3 linked regions of the Tamandua tetradactyla genome follow. The protein of the gene in region 3 interacts with the protein of the main gene of each other region in a pairwise test. Links are inferred from orthologs where the notes say so. Each region holds a gene or a part of one and is shown on either strand. Other genes may lie near its edges. The genes, in order: IL1A, SAV1 and HAX1.

Region 1 (7,756 bases), on a different chromosome or scaffold from region 3:
CTGTCCTCCCCAGGCCCCAAAGGGCCCTCCCGGACCAGAGGGCAGAGCACTAAGACCACACAGGAAGAGTGCAGGAGAGGGAAAGCTAGGCTCCTACTTCTTCCCCTTGGATGTTCATTTTCTTATCAAAACGCTTCAATGCTTGCCCAAACTTTCAGACTCAGAAAAAACCTAAACTTCCTTTTCTTGCATACTAACAAGGCCCAGCCGTCTTCGTGCGTACCAACCTTTCTAGAAAGCGAGGCTGAGTCATAATCACTCAGAAGATGGGGTAAAAAACGGTCATTCCCTTCTGATTTATCAACAACTGTTACATATTTCTGTACTTGGAAAGGAATTTATTTCTATTTATACTCAATGACAAATCAAATTTGCCACTGAAGTAATGAAGAAGAACAGAAAGAGTTAACCACACATCCGCCAGCGACAGCTCTGTGTACAACAGGGAGATTCCCCAAAGCAGGCACAAGGAGGGAGCCCAGATGTGCCACGGGCAGCCTGGAGGCCACGGGCAGGCTGGAGGCCACGGGCAGCCTGGAGGCCACGGGCAGCCTGGAGACCGCGGGCAGCCTGGAGGCCACGGGCAGCCTGGAGGCCACGGGCAGCCTGGAGACCGCGGGCAGCCTGGAGGCCACGGGCAGGCTGGAGACCGCGGGCAGCCTGGAGGCCACGGGCAGCCTGGAGGCCACGGTCAGTCTGGAGGCCACGGGCAGGCTGGAGACCGCGGGCAGCCTGGAGACCGCAGGCAGCCTGGAGGCCACGGACAGGCTTGGAGGCCACGGTCAGTCTGGAGACCGCGGGCAGCCTGGAGGCCATGGGCAGGCTGGAGGCCACGGGCAGCCTGGAGACCGCGGGCAGCCTGGAGGCCACGGGCAGCCTGGAGACCGCAGGCAGCCTGGAGGCCACGGGCAGCCTGGAGGCCACGGGCAGCCTGGAGACCGAGGGCAGCCTGGAGGCCACGGGCAGGCTGGAGACCGCAGGCAGCCTGGAGGCCACGGGCAGCCTGGAGGCCACAGTCAGTCTGGAGACCGCGAGCAGCCTGGAGGCCACGGGCAGGCTGGAGGCCACGGGCAGGCTGGAGACCGCAGGCAGCCTGGAGGCCACGGGCAGCCTGGAGACCGCAGGCAGCCTGGAGGCCACAGGCAGGCTGGAGGCCACGGGCAGCCTGGAGGCCGCGGGCAGCCTGGAGGCCGCGGGCAGCCTGGAGACCGCGGGCAGTCTGGAGGCCACGGGCAGCCTGGAGGCCACGGGCAGCCTGGAGACCGCAGGCAGCCTGGAGGCCACGGGCAGCCTGGAGGCCACGGGCATTCTGGAGCCCACAGAGCCAGGCCTGGAGGCTGCAGGCAGCCTGGAGGCCGCGGGCAGCCGGCCACCGCCGTGGCCACACTCCTCCCGTCACAGCTCCCCTCCAGGCCTCGTGCTGCAACCACCCCTGCTGGGGGAGGACAGTGCGAACCCCCCGTGTGAGGCTCAGCCCCTGCACGGCCTCCAGCCTCATGCCAGGCTTCCCACGGACACATAACAAGTGCTTTGAAGCGCATCGGGTCCTGTACACACACCCGGGTGCAGCGTTGTGGTGACATTTCAACCTGAAGTAGTGACTCCCTCGCACCGACGGTGTGGCAGCCGTTTTATTCTCCCAGATCATACTGGAGTCAAGATTTGGCCGAGATGAAAGCAGCTGATTAGGCTGTGATCTGTCTTACCGGAAAGCTCACCATCCAGGGGGTGAAGGCTCTGCCAAGGGAAAGCTACCATCGCCAGCTCCATCCAGGGACGCGTGTGGGGAGGGACATGGGGGCATACCCAGATCCCCAGCCCGGACTCTTCCAGGGGAAGGGAAGGCGTCGGGCGGCCATGCGGAGCCCCAGAGGAGGACGGACGCCTCGGTGCACAGGCGGAGACCTTGGGGCCTCTTGGCTCCTCTTGCCTGACTGCCAGTGAGGAGGGGGCTCATGGAGTGGGGCGCAGGGCCTCTACCGTCCACCTGCTCCCTGGATTTCGGGAAAGCCAAAACCTAAAGGCCCAGAGAAATAAATCTATATATATGCCCCGAAAAGAAGCACATCATCCTCTTTACATATTTCGTATCTCCTCAACAGCACCTGAAGACTTGTTTTAGAATCCAAAAAGTAAGACAGGTTCTTCTCTGAACTTGAGAAACAAGTTCAGCTCATGGATAACTGTGACTCCAAAGAGGGAAATGACTCAAAAGGAGAGGAATTGCTAAAGCCCGTTTCTGGTGAAGCAACCTACAGGAGTCAGCAGGAAGGCAGCGTGGCCCATGCTGCCCGCTGTGCCCTCTGCCCGGCAGTGCTCCCGGGGCGCTCTGACCCAGACACGCACCACCCGGCGGGCCCATGGGTGGGGATCAGAGCGCGCCACCCCCACCCCACCCTGCAGGCGGTCTGGGGTCCTGCGTCCTCCCACCAGCACCGCCCAGACAGCTGCACAGAAACTGGACCCCGCAACCCCGGACCCCGCACCACGCAGCCCTGGCCCCAAGCTGCCCCACCCGCCCTCCCCCCCTTACTGGCCTGGACGCCCCTCCCCTGGCCTGGAAGCCCCTCCCCTACCTGGAAGCCCCTCCCCCTAGCCTGGACACCCCGCCCCCCCAGGGCCGCGCCCCTCCCCCCACTGGCCCATCTCCCTGCACAGGTGTCCACAGGGTCATGGGCCAGGTGGGGGGCGGCCGCCCGCTCCCTGGGGCTTCGGTCCTGTTCATCCACAGGCAGGAGCACAGAGAGGCTGTGACGAGCAGGTGCCTCTAGCCGTAGGGTATTCTGAGTGAGAAATAGGAGGCAGTGGGTGTGAATTTCAGTTCCTGGCGCATATAAATTGTCCACGTGACCAAGGCAACACCTTCCACTCCACGTCTTTTATATAAGTGAGAGTTTGGCGCGGATGTCTCGCAGGGGCACGCTTCTCCCACGTAGAATCGCAGGCCTTCAGTGGGGCACCGAGGAAAGCAGAAGAACTGAAAAGAAATGTAAAAAGCAAAGGAAGGGCAGAGGCCACAGCGAGGGACAGAAGGGCTGCGGTGTCCGAGCCCGCCGGGGCGACGCGCCGACCTCACAGCTGTGGGCAGATTATTGGTCCCTCCAGCATCCCATGTCCTCATCTGTAGAATGTGAGAGCGAGTCCTGCTCCCACATGGGTGAGGACCCCAGGGACAGGGCGCTGCAGCACCCGGACACGGCTGCCCACATGGGACCTGCTCGGGCCGCAAGGCTGGCTCCCAGCCGCCCTTCTGGGACTTCGGCCCCGAAAGCGACAGTAGGGCCCGCCCCTCTCAGCACCTGGCTCACCAGTCCCTCTTCCAAAACAGTTTCCACAGCCATGTGCGGGAGGCAGTGCCAGGGCCCTGCGGCTGCTTTCTCCCTGCTGAGCTTGCGGGTGGTGCGGCCGCAGGCTGTCCTCAGGGTATAGACTGCACTGGCCACGGGGGCTACAGGCGGCACTGACGATTTGCGTTTAGCTGTGTCCCCATGGCCACCCTCGCACCCTGGGCACCTCGCACAGGTCCCCCAGCCCCGGCCTTACATTTCCCAAAGCAGGGGCTGGACAGGACCACACCCTAGGGGTGCTCGGCCAGCTGCGCCCGCCCTCCCGAGGCCCAGCTGGTCCTCCGTATGCGGGTGGCTCCAAGATCTTGTTCATGACGATCATGACACGTCGACGGCCAGCAGGTGCGGACGCCGGGGCTGGTAGGTCAGGCCGTACGGCCTCCCCACAGTCCCACCCAGCGGCGGCTGGAAGAGACGGCGCCGCCCGCATGCACCACTTTGCACCCATTCTTGGCTGCGTCGCTTTCATGCCATGCGGCTTCTTCTCCTCTTCGCTCTCCTCCTCTTCCCTCTGCTTCCTTTATTTCAAGTTGATGTGGCTCAGACTCCCCTGGGGAACTGGACACGCTCATCTGCTGGGCAGCCTGGTGGTCTCAGGCCACGGGGACAGCCCTCCACCAGGACAGCTCTCCCCAGCCCCTCGGGGTCCACAGCCCTGGAGGCTGCCCCAGCGGCCACACCGGCCTCAGGCGCAGTCACGGCCTGGGGGTCCCGGGGACGCTGCGGCCACTATGCTGCCCCCCGCAGTCCTGGGCACCCTCACCAGCCCTGGGCTCGCACACACACGCATATGCACACTCACCAAATGCATGTGCACACACATATGCACACGTGCACGAACACACATGCACACACAAACGCATGTGCACGCACACACAAACACATGTCCACACACATGCACACGCACACAAACGCATGCGCACATATGCACACATGCATGAACACATATGCACACATGCACAGACAAACGCATGCGTATACGTGCATGCACACAAACTCCAAACACAGACCAAGCCACAAAACACTCCCCCAACTCTAGCCACCCGTGATCCTGATCTCGGGATTCCACCCTTCCTCCCCACCATAGTTTTTACAAACTTGTCATTTCCTGCTCTTCTCCCTTTTTCCACAACTACAGGTCTGTGATTATAAACAGCAAAGCAATAAATAAACAAACCAAGTCAGTTCAGTCCTGGAATCTCTGAAAACAATTTGGCAAAATTATCTAGCAAGTCATTATTTTGTCCAGTATCAAGTTGAGCAAATTCCAGAGCTGCAGAAACAGAATTCTTTCCTGTAAATTCCCCATGACGTCCTCGCGGCCACGCCTACTCAGGACAGTACAATAGGCAGGGCCCTGGCTGCCGGCCACAGAGGCAGTCATTTCAGCACAGCCAACACAGGTACCGTCGTCCCTCCGGCACGGGGGCTGCTGGACGCCTTTTCCCCCTTGCTGCTTTCCTTCCAACTTCCTTCTCTGACGTCTCCCTGGCCCTCCCTTCCCCTGGCTGGGTGAGCTGGGGCCAGTCAGGTCTCAGAGGAACCTGTGTCGTCCTGAGACGGGGAGCCGGCTCCCTCAGGGGCGCTGGCGGGCACCGTGCCTGCCCTCTGGAGGGCACCGGAAATTCCCGGCCCTGCCGCTGCCTGGCATCTCTCCAGGGCAGGCGCTGGCGCTGGTGGTCTTTGACCTATCAGACCACTGTGTGCCATGCCAGACCTGAGGCAGAGTCTAGAAGAGGGTTACAGTTCCATGGGGGCGGCAGATGGTATAAAGTCAGAGTGGAGGAGTGGACGGGAGGAAGGGGGAGACGCTGAGGGTGGCCTCTGGGGCCCGCTCCCCCAGAAGCAAGAGGGGGTCGTTTGCTCTGCAGGCCCCCTGCTCAGAGACCGTTCCTGCCAGCAACACCGAGATGGCCCGAGTCCCTGACCTGTTTGAAGACCTGAAGAGCTGCTACCGGTAACAGATCCTGCCTCAGGTTCCACGGGGGCTGCTGGGGGCTTGCTGGCCCCAGCTGGTGGGGGGGGCGCAGGGGGCCAGGCCTGGGGAGGCCGAAAGAGTTTTCTGCTATCTGTGAGGTCAGGGGGCTTCGGCAGAGACCAGCATGCGAAACCAGTTTAGAAAACCAGTGTCTGAGGTCTGTCCCACCCCATGCATGTCACATCCACTCGCACACAGGCCCGGTCGAGGCCACGTGACACGGGGACACGGGCGTTCGTGGACTGATGGAGAGAGAAACCGTTTCAGGAAAGCTTTCTGATCCCACTCCAAATGGGAACTGGCTCACAGCCCAGCCTCGACAGACAGGACAGATGTTCAATGCATAAACTCTTAAACCAACACAGCACGACCCTAAGTGTGATATATAGTAATGCAGGCTGGACTTCCAGATGGTGCTTGGAGGCTTCTGCCAAGTATAAACGATTAAATCTGTCTTAGTGAATACATGAAAACAATGTGTGACACGTGGTCTGCTTGGTTAAAACAAAAACAGAGGTGCTTCGAAAGTCCCCTTTTGAAGTGCTTACCATGTTACTCTGAAATTCAGTCACAAGGCTTTAGCACGTGAGCAGAGCCGTGCTTCCACAGATAAAGCTCAGCTAGAGTCCACGCCCGGTCCTGCTCATCCCAGGTGGGCGAGCCCCACCTCGCTGGCGGTGACTGTGCACAGAGGCCCTTAATTTTCAAACATGATGGCAAGTGCCAAGGGTGTGATGGCAGAGCTGGCGCAGTCGTGAGGGCACGTTGCCTGGCGACCACAGAGAGGAAACAAACAGCTACATCCCCGCGTCCTGTTTTGACAGTGAGGATGGCGGCTGTGGGCCCGGCAGCGGCGGCGGCGCCCTGGACCAGGTAAGACGGCGGCCGAGGTGTCGGGACGGCGTGCCCAGGCGGGAGCAGCGATGGCGAGTCCGGGCCGGCCTCCCAGGGTGTCTGAGACCCCTAACCAGCTTGCAGAACTGGACAGGACGGTCCCGAAACCCCAAGGCCAGAGTCCCCCGGCCCGGCCTCACAGGCCCCCCGGCCACACGGCCCGAGAAGGACAGGTGTCCTCACTGGCACCCGCCCAGGTCGAGAGGCAGCCCGTCCCACAGCGAAGGAAGCGAGACCCCGGGCAGAGGGACGTGCAGTCACTGCCAGGCTATGCCTGTCTTCAGGGCGGGCTTCAAAGCTGCTTCCACAGGGGAGCCCTAAACTCCTCAGAGCTTAGCCTCAGGGAGGAGCTAGCACGAGGCTATGCTCAGGCTGGTGCTCGCCCAGGGTGTAGCTCCTCATTTTCGGCTTAGCCCATGAAAGGCAAAGTCTTCCTAGGAGAGCACATCCTTTCAAGGAAATCCTGGAGGAGGGAAAGAAGGAGGGAGGGAGGAGGAGGGGAGGAGGGAGGGCAGGGGGGAGGGCGGTGGGGGAGAGGGGTCAGGGGGAGGGAAGCACAGGAGAGGGCGACTGAAGGGTGCCCTCTGCTCCCACGGCAGCCTTGCAGCTTCCTGTCCCGTCCCCAGAGATCCTTCTATGAAGCGAGCTATGGCGCGCGTCCTGAGGGCCACGTGGATAAATGCTGGCCTCTGAGTGCCCCTGCAGCCCCTGCGAGACCCGAGCTGGCCTTGGAGGAGAGTGTGGTGGTGGTGACAGCCCGAGGAAAGGTCCTGAAGAAGAGGCGAAGGAGCCTGAGTGTGGAGGGCAGGGTCGATGGCCTGGAGGCCCCCACCACAGAGCTGGAGGCAGGTGAGGGAGCCCCGTCCCCACTCGGCCACTCTCAAGCGAACGGGCACTGCGGCGGAGGGGGGAGAAAACCTGGAATCAGAGAAGCAGGAGGGCAGCGGGCACTGGACACACCCGCAGGAAGGGAAATCAATCTTAATCCCTCTGCGCGGGGCGGGCTGGAATGCTTGTCCCCAGGCCTGTTACCTGGAGGTTTGTAAAGGACCTTCAGCCCTCAGGGAGAAGGCAGTGCGTACTGTTGCCTGGCGACCACCTCCAAGCCAAGCTCCTCTACTTCCCAGCTGTCCTCCTTGGGCAGTCCCCCAGTCCTCCTGAGCCTCAGTTTCCTCTGCTCGGAAGTGGAGAACTCAGGGTCCGGCCTCACCGGAGAGCTGTGCCGGTCCCAAGCGTCAGGACTCCCCAGTTCCGGCCAGAATATCACCCGGTATACAGTAGGCATACAATCAGTGTTGCTGCTGCTGCTCTCATTAGGGGGAGCCTGCGTCCCTAGCCATCTGTCCAGCGCCCGGCAGGACCTCTGACTCCCTGAAGCCCGAGAGTTGAAGGTCACATGGAGGAAACGAAGGGCTGTCCCGAGCCGAGCAGCGGGGTTGCACATCCCTCCCGCGCCACCTGATCGAAAGCCATGTGTGTTCTCGTCGCCTTCACCCTACAAGCTTCCCATGAGTCCTGTTTCTAACATTACATCTGA
Region 2 (7,107 bases), on a different chromosome or scaffold from region 3:
CCACAGGGATGATTTGTTATACAGCATTATGGTGGCAACAGCTAACTGATACTTCGACTTCATTAGGTTTCTGTTACGTGCTTAGCGCCCTAGAATATGGTAAGTGCAGATATGAGGCACCATTATTAAAAAATATATATATTTTTGCATATTTCCTTCTGCCCATTTTAGCACAGAACTTTAGGAATGAAAAACACTTTGGAAATGCAGTAGTCCAATTTCTTCATTTTCAGATGAGAAAACTAAGACCCAGAGAGCTATAAGGTTAGCCCAGGTTTGTTTAATGTTATACTAATCAAAAATAGTTGTTAACTCACTAATTGTCTATTTTCTCCACTGAGAATGCAAATGAAAGGGGAAAAATATTTCTATTATGTAATACAGTATTAGCATTGTGTTTGGAGAATTAAAGCTGCAAAATCTGGATTCCTTAATGAAAAATTTCAGAATTCCAGGAATTTCTGGAAAACATGTGAATTCAAAGCCTCTGGATTCAAAGTTCAGATATTTGCTATGCATTGCTACTGCTGATGCTGCCTGCAGACTGTTGATTCTGGCATGCACCCTCTTTGATAAAAAGTCAAATTATAAGTCTTAAAGAGAGTACCTAACAGATTTTTTTTCTTTGTAATTCAAAGAATTGAAATTGCACTGAAAAAGGGAATACTTTGTAGGGAATATGGATGGCCTTCAGAAACAACCGTATTAGAAACAGTCTGGATTATATTACTGGGATTTTTAATATGCTGCAGCAGAGAAAGGCTCAGAATGGGAAAAGAAAATATTTCTGATACTAATCTGCTGTAAACCAGGAATGTGATCTGAGGCAAACCATTTTTCTAGTTTTGTTTCTACATCTATAAAATGAGGTTAGCCTAGCTAATCTCAAAATTCCTTTCCAGTTATAAAATTCAGCGATTTCTTTCCCCCATGAATGTGGAAAGTATCCTCTACTTCAGGCTCTGGGAAAACCCAGGTGGGAAAAATTGACGTTATTAACAAGACCCTAATATCCTTTTTTTCTCTCATCCTTCCAAGGTAAGTAGGCCCTGTGCCGAAGACTAGCACTTTTGGCACCACTTTCTCCTCCATACCCAATCTGTAAGAAAACCCCATTGTTTTTTCATTTATGTTTCATCACTCTTCTCCACCCACCCTACCAACACTTTAGTACCAGTCCTTACTTCTGAACAGGAAGAAGTGACTGCTTTTCTAATGTTCCTCTAAAAGTACAAACTGCTTCTTTTTTTTTTAACATGGGCAGGGACCGGGAATCAAACCCAGGTCCTCTGGCATGGCAGGCGAGGATTCTTCCCTGCTGAGCCACCTTGGCCCACCCTAAACTGCTTCTTTTGAGGTCTGTTCTGTTCTAGCGTTAAAATTTACATTCCCATGGGAGTGATCCTTGATTTCTCTCTTTTCCTCGTGTTCCAATTCAATGCCAGCAACCTCGTTGGCTCTGCCTTGAAAAGATGTTCAAAATCTGACCACTTATTTCCACTGCTATTACTCTGGTCCAAGCCAGCAATAGCTTCGGACCGGTGTCTCCTCTTTGCCCTTTTCCTAAGTCTATTCTTAACAGCACCCAAAGTGATCCTATTCAGAACATCAGGTCGGATGAAGCCACATATCTGCTCAAAGTCAAGGGCCGTCAAGGCTCTAATTTCAATCCCTTGTACTCTCCCCTACATCCCTCTGTGCCTGCTGCACCGACCTCCTTACTGTCCTTCAATCTGCCAGGAATTTGGCCACCTGCAGCGATGCCTTGGCTGTGTTTTCTACCTGGAATATTCTCCCTCCAGACAGCTGCATGGCTGGTTCCCCATGTTCCTGTCTCACGATGCCTTTTCCAGTCACTCCGTCAGTGCCTAAAATTGCAAACCCTCTTCCTGGCTTTCCACCTCAGCTCTTATCACTAACATTCTGTTTTGCATATTATCTTTATCGTATCTTCCCCAGCACAGTAGGGATTTTTGTCTGTTTCATCCATTGATACACCCCAAGGATCTAGAATAGCACCTAGAAGTGGGTGCTCACTAAATATTTGTGGGTTACTCAATGAATAGCAGGAGATCTGTACTAAGAGGGCATAAAAGCATCATGCAAAGATGGAAGTAGACACTAGATAAAATGTTTTTTCATGGCAAAACACAATTTGATCATCGTCTTAATCTGGTGCAGTAGAAAATTCCATACCTTTTGTTAATTGTGGCATAAATTTTGTATCTCTTGTGAAATAAGTTTCAGATCTCAAGGAAAGCATTCTCTATTATTAAAAGTCTAATTTACCCAGGGATGAGCCTGGCCCTGGCACCGTGGGATCAACAATGCCATCCTGACATAAAGGGTGAAAAGAAGTGTAGCAAATAAGGTATCAGTGGCTGAGAGAGTTCAAATAGAGTCAAGCGGTACATGGAAAGTCACTCTTACTTAAACTGAAGTTAGACATTGCTACCTATCATAACTTGCCAAACCCCAAACAAAACCATTCCTGCCAACCGTAAAGAACACCTAGGGCTTTATATAAGATCCTACAAAGCTTCCATACACTAGGGTGACTTTCCAAAACCTACAGCCTCCAGATGGGTGCCTGGTCCAGGTAAGCCCAGCCTCTGCAGAATATCAGCTAGTTCTATCGCCCCTCCCATGTCATCAACAGCCCCGTCCAACATGAAAAGTTAGAATGGGCATAGCCCAGACACCCCTAGAGTGGAGAAGGACCAAAGGTGATGGTGGAGTTGCACAGAGAAGGTCGGGTTTAACAAATGAGCGTGACTGCTCAATCATGACACTGATATTTATTTGAGCTTCCAGTACCTTAGAGGACCTAAAAGTAAAAACCTAAAGTTGTGGAATTGTAACCCAATCCAAACTCTGAAATCTGTTCTACAACTAAGTGTTGTGATGTACTTTGCTTTTATGCATAAATGTTGTTTAAAGGAGAGGAACATAACAAAGATAGGATTTAACACAGATGACTGCTGAATCATACTGATATTTCCGTTGGTCTCCAGTGTCTTGGAGCAGCTGGAAGTAAAAATGAAAAATTGTGGAACCGTAACCTACATCAAACTTAAAATCTGTTGCGTAAGTACTTGTTAAAATGTACTTGGAATTTTATTGCTTTTATGTATGTGTATTTCACAATAAAAAAGTGTAAAAAAACAGGCCTCTTTAGTTCACCTGGGGATAGATCCTATCTTATTTGCTCACGATCCTGTACCTTTGGCAGTTCCCGGTCAGTAACAGCGAAGTGTAGTCCACGCTTTTAAACGGAAAATCCCAAACCCTCATCTCTGGCGTTCAAAGCCCTCAAAACCCGAGGACGGAACTAGCTAATTCCACGAGGAAGTACGTGACTGTTTCCCACCAGTGTGCGACTACACACGTACAGACTCAACACTGCCGTGAACGCGAGGTGCGAAAGCGTCGCCCTTCGTCCTTCCTGCACGGCCGGCGCACTCGGCGGCCCCGCGGCCCGTCCCGGCCGGCCAGCGTCTAACGGACCACTCGTCTCGGTCAGGAGGCTCCAGGTCCTCGCGCAGCGCCGCCCGACGGTGTCCCAGGGCCCGGGCTAGTCACCCGATCCCAGGCCGGCGGGCGTGCAGGGGTCCTGGGGGCAGCGGTGGGGAGGGGCTCCGTGCGGCGCGCGGTCAGGTAGGACACTGGCCGGCCCCCTTCGGCCCCAGTCCCCTGCAGTCTCGCTGCGGAAACCACAGCGGCCGCCCCTCCGCCCCGGAGCCGCGCGGTCAGCCGAGGGCCAGCGCCGACGCCCCGGGAGGCGGGAGCTGGGGTGGGTCCCAGGCGGGCGGCGGGTTTCCCAGAGTTCCCAGCGGCGGGTTTCCCAGAGGCCCCAGCGGCGGGTTTCCCAGAGTTCCCAGCGGCGGTCACTAGGCGGCGGCGGACACTGGTGCGGGTCCATGGCCCGGGCCCGGCTCTGCCGGCCTCTCGTGCTTGCGGTCAGCGCGGCGGCGCGGGCGGACTTCCGGGAGGCGGCTGGGGCGCGGCTGGGCGGCGGGCGGCGCGCGTAGCGCCTGGCCATGCGGCCCGCCCCGCGGGCGCCCCGGGCTGCGGAGAGGACCCGGCGCCGGGCTCTGGGCGGGCCGCGTGGCGCGGCCTCGGGCCTCGGCTGGAGGGATGCTGTCCCGAAAGAAAACTAAAAGCGAAGCGTCCAAGCCGGCGGAGGTGCAGGGCAAGTACGTCAAGAAGGAGACGTCGCCCCTGCTGCGGAGTGAGTGTCGCGGCCCCGCGGGCGCGCGTCTGGCCTTGGTGCCTTCCGCCTTCGTAACTTTTTGGTGCATGGAATGCCGGTTGTTTGAAAATCGCTAAGGGATAAAAGAGCAGGAAACTTGGTTGGTTGTTCCTTCGGGAGAGTCCCTGAAATAGCGCTCCTGGCCGCGGCGAAGGTCCTGCCCACGCTTCCGGAGCGCTCGGGCGTTGTGGGCGCCGAAGTCCGGGACGCGCCTTTTCCTGGTCTGGAGACGCGGAGAGACGCGGAGAGGCGCCCGGTCGGCTACTGTCCGGGCGCCGCCGCCTGTGCAGAGGGGCGCAGAGCAGCCGCTCCCAGGCCCCTCCGCTGGCACCACGGGCCGTGTGTGTGTGTGTGTGTGTGTGTGTGTGTGTGTGTGTGTGTGTGTGAGTGTGTGAGAGAGAGCACCCACGGGCCGTGTGTCTGTGTGAGAGCACCCACAAATCCTGTGTATGTGTGTGAGAGAGCACACACGGACCCTGTGTGTGTGTGTGTGTGTGTGTGTGAGCACCCACGAATCCTGTGTGTGTGTGTGTGAGAGAGTATCCACGGACCGTGTGTGTGTGTGTGTGTGTGAGAAAGAGAGTATCCACGGACCGTGTGTGTGTGTGTGAGAGAGAGAGAGCACACACGGACCCTGTGTGTGTGTGTGTGTGTGTGTGTGTATGTATGTGAGAGCACCCACAAATCCTGTGTGTGTGTGACGGTTTACACCACCCATTTAACAACCCTTTTCAGATTCCAGGGAGGCAAAGTAGCTTAAAACGACTTCCATCCTGTTCTAGGGAAAGTACCAAGAAGTCGTTTAGACTGGAGTAGGATCTGTCTGTCGCCGTGTGACTCTGGCTTCCGAGTGGGCGTGGAGGACGGCGTGATGTAGGAGCTGGTGCCGTGCTGCTCCCGCAGTGCGCCGAGCCCTCGCGTTTCCTTCCCGCGAGCGCGGGGTCCCTCGGGCGCGGCTGGCTCGTGCCCGGTCCGCAGCGCACGGTGGGCCAGACAGCAGGCCAGACAGCAGGCTTCCCCTGCAGCCACGCCGCAGCCTTCTGGGTTCGTTGTCGTGCTGGAAGGGCTTTCCCATAGAGCAGAGCAAGTCCCCTGGGGGCATCAGCTGCCCGAGGCTCATTTGTAAAACCTTTTTTATAGCTTGCTGTACAGTGCACGTGCTCTTAGGTTTTTGGCCAAGGTCTTAAATGATAGTTTGCAGTTTGCTGCACATAGTTTACTAAGCATTACTTGAAGCTCCAAAATATCTTTGCCACACTTTTTGGCAAATAAAAGCTTTTACTATAGTATTTTGTGTTTTAGTTTCATGAAGTGTTTATCCTTACTTATTTGGGCATTGACTTCTTTCTCTCTGAAACCGTTAATATGAATGCCCTCTAATAAGTTTACATAATGGCCACAAATCTCATTTTCTTCGTGTATTAACAGTTTTTGCTTTCTATCTGGGAATATCTGAACTGTTTTCAAGTTCTGTACTAAGAAGTATCTGGAAAAGCCATTGTTCTATTATCTTCTTCAATTGCTTGGTTCTTAGAGGAGCCATAAATTTAGGCTTGGTGAATTTAAACTGATTAAACATTCGTGTACTTCTTTGGAATGAGCCTTTTTAAAAAAATCTTCATATCAAAAACTTTGGCTTTCTAGCTTTTGATTACTCTCCTAGTTCTAGGTAATTCCAAGAGTAAGAAGACTGGATTAATAAGTTCAATTTTTTTTTTGTAAAGGTATCCAACTTCACATATTTTTGGAGTAGCATTATGTTTTGTTTTATCTTAGAAATGTTTGCTTGAAGAAGGAATTTTAGCAATTTCTAAAATGAAGTGAAAAATACCAAAACAAACTATAATCTTACATAATTTTGCTGGTAACTACATAGATGTTTCCTGTTTTACACATTTATTCATGAGTTATTTCATTAAGTATGCATTTTATATTTAAGTTTGTTGGCATTTTTCCATGTTATATATGTATGGTGGTACACAGAATGTATTTGATTCTGGCTGAGCTTACATATAGTACCTTCGTATACAGTATCAATCCATTTGGGTGGGGAAATGTTAATTAGCCTTAATCTTAAACTATCCAGGTACTATTTTAAATAAAAAATTTAAGAGATGTTCTCTTAAGTTCATTGAAACTTTGCATTTTAGGGGTGGTAGGTGTAACCTGACAACTTTTGAAAAGTGTATTTATTATTTGTTGAAATGGTCATTTTATTCTTTGTTTTATTATAGATCTCATGCCTTCATTCATCCGGCATGGTCCAACAATTCCAAGACGAACTGACATCTGTCTTCCAGATTCAAGCCCTAATGCTTTTGCAGCCTCTGGAGATGGAGTAGTTTCAAGAAACCAGAGTTTCCTTAGAACTCCAATTCAGAGAACACCTCATGAAGTAATAAGAAGAGAAAGCAACAGATTGTCTGCACCGTCTTTTCTTGCCAGGAGTCTAGCAGATGTCCCTAGGGAATATGGCTCTTCTCAGTCATTTTTAACTGAAGTTAATTTTGCTGTTGAAAATGGAGACTCTGGTTCCCGATATTATTATTCAGATAACTTTTTTGATGGTCAGAGAAGGCGGCCTTTTGGAGATCGTGTGCGTGAAGACTACAGATACTTCGAATACAATCATGATCTCTTCCAAAGGATGTCACAGAATCAGGGGAGGCATACTTCAGGTGACTGAAAATTAGAAATATTACATTAGTTTATTTGTAGAGCACTGACACTTTAATTCGAAAGATACTCTTTTCTGAGATTTTTTTGGGAAGCTAACAAATATTCCTAGTGAAATACGTTTTCATTTCCCCAGACTTTTTAAACCAGCTTGCAAAAAGTTATTGCTCTATACTGGG
Region 3 (7,324 bases):
AATTAAAGTTTTTAATTTTTAATTTTTTTTTGTATGCTGAACGGCGAGGGTCTGCAACTGTTCTTGCCCTTTCCTTTACTTTCCTATTCTCCCAACCCTTCTCATAACTTTCTGAGAGAATGAGTATGGAATGAAAGGAAACTATTTCATCCCATTCTTTGTGAGTAAATAATAAAACTAAAGAGTGGGGAAGAAGACAACTCAGTAATTAAAGAACGAGGCATTAGAGTTATCCACAGGTGGTCTTATTTGTATTGCTTTTTATTCCCCATCATCATAAATATTAAAAGATTGATATAAAGTAATAGGGGTTTAGGGGAGAGCTTCATGGCCAAGACCCTCAATACTTAAAACACCTCAGTTTGTACTCATTTTGAAATATTAACAGGAATTCTAATTTTACCCAACTGCAGAGGTGGAGTTGTTAAAAGCAGTCAGTACATTTCATTATGTTCATATAGAGCATTAGATTTTGAGAAATGTTTTTACTTCCATCCTCATTTGAACCTTACAACCAAAACTTTAGTAGACCAATAGCATCCTCATTTTATGTTTTGCGAAATTGAGTAATTTGCCCAGGAATCATGCTGCTATTAAGGGCAGAGCTGGGACTTTGATTTCAGATGCATTGTTCCTTGTATAACATGAATGCTGCTTTCTTGGGGTTGGGGAGCTTGGGCTTAGAGATTCCAAGCATAAATTTGCTGATCCCTTTTACTCTCTCTCCTCCATTCTCCTGGATAGCAGTCCTTTGAGAAACAAGGTTTTCATTCCGGTACTCCTGCTGCCTCCTTCAACTTGCCTTCAGCCCTAGGAAGTGGGGGGCCCATCAACCCGGCCACAGCTGCTGCCTACCCACCTGCCCCCTTTATGCACATTCTGACCCCCCATCAGCAGCCACACTCCCAGATCCTTCACCATCACCTGCAGCAGGATGGCCAGGTAATAACCCTTCCCCCTTACTCCTTTCCCTTCCTTTTCCTTCCTATCCCTTAAAACTGCCTCCCCTTTCCTTCTCTTACCCTTCCTCACCACCACCTTCACCCAGTCCCTCCCCAGCGCCAGCCATGGGCACACAGCACATACAGACTCAAGCGCACATAACACAAGCGGCCGGCAAAGGAGATGTCAGAGAAGGGGCCAGATTGAAACCTTTTTTGTTCAGTTCCATTGGTGCCTTTCTCTACCTCCTCCCATGGCACAATTGTCCTCATCCCATCAGACCTGGGTCACACCTCCCCTCCTACCTCTCCCAGCCTTCCCCCTTGCCCCAACATTATAGCTTTCCCTTCTAATGGTAGAGTTCTATTGTCAAAGTTTGTCCCTTTATTTTCCATATATCCTGGTTCTGCCTCAGCTACCATATTTGCAGATGATTCTCTGTTGCCAGCGCCAGCAGGAGGAGCAGGTAATGAAACTGAATGATAATATGCTTGAACCCACTCCCTTTCAGTCCCCATTTCATCTTTGCAACCTCAGGGAACTTGAAGAGAAAAGAGATTGCGCGGTCACAAATCGGGATACACAAACACAAACACCTTGCTGAGCTCTCTGGCCTCCCCTTCCTCTTTCCTTTCCTCCCTCAGCACCCTCTTTTTCTTCTACACCCTGATCCAGTTCTGGTATACACTTGATTACTGGAATGGAAAGGATTCTTGGGTCAGCATCTAGAGCCCTGAGACTTCAGACTCTCTTTCCTACCTTGCCTGAAAAGGGAAGGGCTCACAGATGTGACTTATGGTAGGGATGGGGAGCTGTGGGATGGTGTAAAAGACCTCTCCTCCATTGTAGGTGATTGAGGAGCTAGATTAGGGGCTTTCTTGCCTCCATAGACAGCTTTCCAAATAGAGGCATTCATGGAGGAGATCAGTGTAAATGAAATCAACTAGTGATCATTCATCTCCGAGAGGCTGTAATTCTCTGTAGAAAAGAGTAGCCTTTTCCCAGAGCAGGGGCGGCTGATGGGATGAGGGAGGTGGTATTGAAAATAAGTAGAACTGATTCACCATCTCATTTCCAAAGGTATCTTGCCCTCTTTTCATCTTTTCACTATTTAAAGGCTGAAAGTGCCTTTGTGCTGGTCAGAGAGGGGATCTAACCACTCGGAGGATCAGAACTTTCCATGGTTGGGCTTCAGAGTAGCCTCTAAGCAAGGGGAATGGGAGCGTAAGACAACTTCCACATCTCCATGTGAAGATCTCACAGACTTGTCCCACTAACTAGACACCTTTTTCCTCCCCATGATCCTCCCATTCCCCTGCAGACGGGCAGCGGGCAACGTAGCCAGACCAGCTCCATCCCGCAGAAGCCCCAGACCAACAAGTCTGCCTACAACAGCTACAGCTGGGGGGCCAACTGAGGCCCTGACCCTCTTCTCCTGGCCCCATCTTCTGAGAGGGCTTCTCAGCCTGGCAACTATGGAAACAGCATCAAAGAGAAAAAGGAATGTTGGGGGATTCTGCTGCCCCCCACCCCCAGCGGAGCTCCCCATGCCTCAGCTTCATGTCTGTCCCATTCCCATACCATCCCCACCCTGTTGTATGTATTATAGGATTTGTATTTTTTCCTTTTTTTTTTTTTTCTCCTTCCTTTCCTCTTCCTCCTCTTCCCCACTACCCCATGCATTCAAGATTATGAAACTCTGCTGTGGGCCCTGCCCTTCCTTCTCCTCCTCCTGTTCACCCTGGTGGTGTGTGGGTGAGATGGGGAGGTGGGACCCCCAAATATATATCAGCCCAACAGCCCTAAGTCTCCTCCTTTATTATTAGGAAAACAAAACAACAACAACAAAAAAAAAACGGCGTCATGAATATGAACAGCATTGTCAGATGAATTCGTTGAAGTGTTTTTTTTTGTTTTTTTTTTTTTTGTTTTTTTTTTTGTACTGTGTCCTCAAATTTAATGGATTAATGTGTCTTGTATATATAAAAAGAAAACCTCTACCTTCAGCCTCTGCCCATTCTTGCTCCGTCTAGGATATCCTCAGTCTCGTCGATGACCAGCTTGGTGAATAAGTGTTACTGTACCAACTCGGCCTTCTCTAGCAGGCCCTCAAAGGCAGTGGAATAAAATGAAATCTTCGCCCTTCTCTGACCTTAATGTGCTAGTGTCTTGCCCTTGCGGGGTTCCCTTCCTTTAATCCTTAAGAGTCTTACAGCCTGGTGCCTGGAAAGAAGCACCACAACTTTTCATTCCCTCCAGAAACTGATACATCTACAACAGATTTCAAGCAGTGAGGGAGAGGAATAGAGGAGATTGGGTGATGAGGGAAAGACGTAAGGAGGAGCTGAGACTGTTTCAAAGGAATGACTTTGTGGGGTCAAAATATGCAGGGGTCCAAGCAAACTGAAAGAAGTGAGGGTAACATGTACTGTTGGCTTTCAGAACTTAAGCTTTGGGTCCATTACCGTTAAGGGAAGAACATAGTAATTCTTCCTTCTTGAGTGCTTTGGTGTTGCATAGCTATACCCAGTCCCCTGAAAAGGAACCCAGAACAAGGCAGGGGGTGGAGGTTGGAGTGAGGGATGAAGACAGGCTCTGAAAGTAGTCTATGATATGAAAAAGAGAATACTTAAAACCTCAAATTCTTTCTTTACTCCTTCACTACCTTTCCTTCCAGTGTTCTTTTACGAATCCTGTATTCTGCTGGCTTCGGAGCCTATTTCAGAAAATTAATATTTTATAACATTCCCTGGTGGTTGGTGGAATTGAGAAATTATAAATCTATGTATCCTTATGCCTTTTATCTATTTAATTGTGGGTAATTCGATGCGAGAAGGGGCTTGATAAAACCTTTTATCTACCCACTATATTAGACAACCCAGGTCAGTAAAAAAATAGGTTGAAGGACTGAGGTGGCTTCTGGATGTGGTGAGCCAGGGGTGAGGGACATGCGCACATAGGTTCAATTTGGGCGTTTGCGCTGCCCTCTGGCGGCTTTATCCAAATAAAATCCAATCAAACTCTCGAAGCATCTTTTTGGACTGGGCTGGTAAGCGGAAAGAAGATACAGCTTAGAAGGGAGATGATAATTGGAAAATAAAAATTCGAAATAGGATAATTCCGGAATTGGATAATTGGGGGGAAAATATGTCCACTACCTTCAAACTTGTCTGTGAAAGATGATCAAGGGAAAGCCTTTTGAGATTGAGGAGGATCGGCTGTCCGCCCCGCCTTCTCGTCCACGTCGTTTTACGTCCTTTATCGCCCTTTTACGACAACATGCCCGGGCCACAGGTTTGCTTTCTGGCAGCCTGGTCTGACTCGCTTTCCGGTAGCGTAGTGCGGCTGGATCCCGGTGTAATGAGCTGCCGGCGGGTGTTCAAGGCTTGTATTCTTAAGCGGGAATGAGTGTCTTTGACCTGTTCCGGGGCATTTTCGGATTTTCTGGACCTCGGAGGTGAGAGTGGGTCGGGTCGGATAAGGGGATTCTTCTGAGGCGAGCTTGACTCCTAACACCCAACCTTTTGGAAAAACCCTCTTCCCATTCCTGCTGAGAGGACGAAAGTCGCAGCATACAGCACTCACCCCACGACAGTAATCAAGGCGGTCGTTAAGAGGAGAAGAAACAGCACTTCTTTTTCCAACCTGGGGTGATGCAACAGGGGTCCGAGCGGGGAAGACAGTGGAGGTCTAGAAGTAAAGACAAGGAGCCAGTGAGCAGGACCTTGGGAGAGAGGGGAGGGTCTGGGGAACACTGGAGAAAAGGCAGTGAGGGCTTGGGGAGAGCCGCGAGATTGAGGACTGACTTTGATAAAAACTAAAAAACAAAAACTGTCAGCTGTCATGTTTTGGTTTGACAGCCAGCCCTCTCCCCAACCTACCAGATCCTTCTTGCCCTACTTTGCCACCCATGAGTTGATTAAAGGCTAAACACTTGATGATACTAAAATCTTGCTGGCCAATCTACCTCCACCCCCAGCCACAGAGATCCCTTTTTTGGCGGGATGACCCGAGATGAAGATGAGGATGATGAGGAAGAGGAAGAAGGAGGAGACACTTGGAGCCATGGAAGCTCCAGGTTTGGGGTTCCCCATCCCCCTGAGGAATTTGGCTTTGGCTTCAGCCCAGGAGGAGGAATACGTTTCCATGATAACTTCGGCTTTAATGACCTAATACGGGATTTCAATAGCATCTTCAGCGAAATGGGGGCCTGGACCTTGCCTTCCCGCTCTCCTGGTGTGTGAATACTCCTAAGGGAGAACTCATGGGTTCTAGTGGGTTGGTGGGCAATGTAAGAAACGTTCAGGGAGTAGCTGGGGGATGAGAAGTGTGAGAAGATAACTTCAGGAAGTTTAAAGAGCCCACGTCCTTTCACCTGCCCAGCATTGATCTGTCACCTTTCTGCAGAACTTCCAGGTCCTGAGTCAGAGACCCATGGTGAGAGATGGCAGGGGGGAGAGACGCTTCGGGACTCAATGCTTAAGTATCCAGATAGTCACCAGTCCAGGATTTTAGGGGGGGTCTTGGAGAGTGGCGCAGGAACTGAATCCCCCAAATCAACACCAGACTGGGGATTCCAGAGACCTTTTCATAGGGTGAGTACCACATCTAGACTTGAAGTGAGAGCCTGTGAAAGACTTTAAGTAGAGTGCAAAGACTGGAATCTTTGTTGGAAACTGATAGATTTGGGTTGGAATTCTGGGCTCTCCACTGAGTGTGCTTATCTGTTTTGTATATTGAATTTCTTATAAGAATTTTTTTTCGTGGAGGGGGGGCAGGGAATGGAAGTTCTGTCTCTTAAAAAAAATTTTTTTTAAATAATCAGTCCAGGTAATTACTGGATAAGGCAAGATTGTGGGAGGAGGATCAGAAAGTGTCAGTTCAGGAAAGCTTCTTGGTAGAGGGTTACATAAAAGAAAGCTAGGAAGGAGGGGGGGTGGGTAAATCGAGCTAGCCTGAATGGAATTCTTTCTCCTGGGAAAGATGGTTTTAGAACTTTGGAGTAGTTTAGGGCCATGATCCTTCAAATTTTAGGTAGAAAGGTGTCTTTTCACCTACTGTGACTTCTTCCACAGTTTGATAATATGTGGCCTGTGACCCCACATCCTAGAGCCAAAGAGGACAATGGTGAGTCTGGAGGGAGGAGGCATTGACCAGCCCTCTCTTGTTGTCTCAGAGTTCTCTCTGTTGTCCCTTCTGAACTTATTGCTGTACTTCTACTCTTCTTTCCCTCGGACTCTTTTCCCCTGTTTCTTCATCTCTGTTTTTTCAGATCTTGATTCGCAGGTTTCCCAGGAGGGCCTTGGCCCAGTTCTGCAACCCCAGCCAAAATCATACTTCAAGAGCTTCTCTGTGACCAAGATCACTAAGCCAGACGGGGTGAGTTGGGAGAGAGGGGTAGAGGGAAACTGTGTCCAGAGGATGCTCTGGAGACAGGAATTTGTGTAAAGAAACTACTGAACTCACTTTTAGTGACATGAGGGGTGTTGGGGGACTCCTTGTAGACAGTGGAGGAGCGCCGGACTGTGGTAGACAGTGAGGGCCGGTCCAAGACCACAGTAACCCATCAAGAAGGAGACGGCAGTCCTAGATATGGTAAGTGAAGTGCATGAATCAAGAGGTTCATCTCTTAATTCCCCGGGTAAGGGAAACCCTTGTTCTCCTGCCCTTTAATGGTGTTCCTCTCCGTTGCCCCTGCACGGACTCGCTCACTTAGCCTATCTGTGTGTATGTATTCTTCCAGAATTGCCAGGACCTCCAGCCCTAGATGATGCTTCTTCCATCTTGGATTTATTCCTTGGACGTTGGTTCCGGTTCCGGTAGCCTTGTAACCCTCAGAGGCCTTCTTTCCTTACTACATCCCACCTGTTGCTCACCAATAATGGGCTGAGCTTCTCCTGCCATACAGAGGGCTGGGGGTTGTGGAACAGTGAATTGGGGTTATGTCAGTATACTTCTCACCCAGACTGACCAATAAAACCTTTATTTGTGCTAGATCCTTGGCTTTGTTTTGTGGAGGTTGTCTTACTTTCTAGCACACCTAGGACTTCCCAAATTATCTTGACTTGCAACCTCCTTATTGTGTGTTAGAGAAAAATATAATGAGCACAAACAGTAATAGATATTTTTCTCCTTTAAAAAGTTTTTAGTCCATCAATGAGTAAACAAAATGTTACATGTACACTGCGTTGTACTATTATTCTGCCGTAGGACAGAATGAAGTTCTGAGAAATGCTGCAACGTGGAAGGACCTTGAAAACATGCGCAGTGAAATAAACATGACACATAAGGGCAAATATTATATGATGTCACAAGAGATGTCTAAAAATAGCAAATTTGCAGAGGCACAAAGGAAATTAGAGGTTAGCAGGGGATGAGGGAA

The links.
Region 1: the proteins of HAX1 (region 3) and IL1A interact in binary tests that used the Homo sapiens proteins (3 or more experiments, as listed by UniProt). The link is inferred for Tamandua tetradactyla from reciprocal best matches to the Homo sapiens genes HAX1 and IL1A.
Region 2: the proteins of HAX1 (region 3) and SAV1 interact in binary tests that used the Homo sapiens proteins (3 or more experiments, as listed by UniProt). The link is inferred for Tamandua tetradactyla from reciprocal best matches to the Homo sapiens genes HAX1 and SAV1.

Annotation. Positions count from the first base shown.
Region 1 is NC_135343.1:337,643-345,398, forward strand, and holds the start of IL1A (interleukin-1 alpha), read left to right. Parts: upstream 1-4,732; 5' UTR 4,733-4,750; intron 4,751-5,218; 5' UTR 5,219-5,257; coding exon 5,258-5,304; intron 5,305-6,149; coding exon 6,150-6,198; intron 6,199-6,845; coding exon 6,846-7,068; intron 7,069-7,756. UniProt on the Homo sapiens protein: Cytokine constitutively present intracellularly in nearly all resting non-hematopoietic cells that plays an important role in inflammation and bridges the innate and adaptive immune systems.
Region 2 is NC_135340.1:1,699,740-1,706,846, forward strand, and holds the start of SAV1 (protein salvador homolog 1), read left to right. Parts: upstream 1-4,069; 5' UTR 4,070-4,137; coding exon 4,138-4,231; intron 4,232-6,486; coding exon 6,487-6,930; intron 6,931-7,107. UniProt on the Homo sapiens protein: Regulator of STK3/MST2 and STK4/MST1 in the Hippo signaling pathway which plays a pivotal role in organ size control and tumor suppression by restricting proliferation and promoting apoptosis.
Region 3 is NC_135330.1:7,218,762-7,226,085, forward strand, and holds HAX1 (HCLS1-associated protein X-1), read left to right. Parts: upstream 1-4,234; 5' UTR 4,235-4,346; coding exon 4,347-4,399; intron 4,400-4,921; coding exon 4,922-5,178; intron 5,179-5,349; coding exon 5,350-5,537; intron 5,538-6,017; coding exon 6,018-6,069; intron 6,070-6,214; coding exon 6,215-6,321; intron 6,322-6,446; coding exon 6,447-6,537; intron 6,538-6,685; coding exon 6,686-6,765; 3' UTR 6,766-6,938; downstream 6,939-7,324. Other genes in the region: UBAP2L (ubiquitin-associated protein 2-like), read left to right, coding at 745-942, 1,358-1,408, 2,264-2,359. UniProt on the Homo sapiens protein: Recruits the Arp2/3 complex to the cell cortex and regulates reorganization of the cortical actin cytoskeleton via its interaction with KCNC3 and the Arp2/3 complex. Slows down the rate of inactivation of KCNC3 channels. Promotes GNA13-mediated cell migration.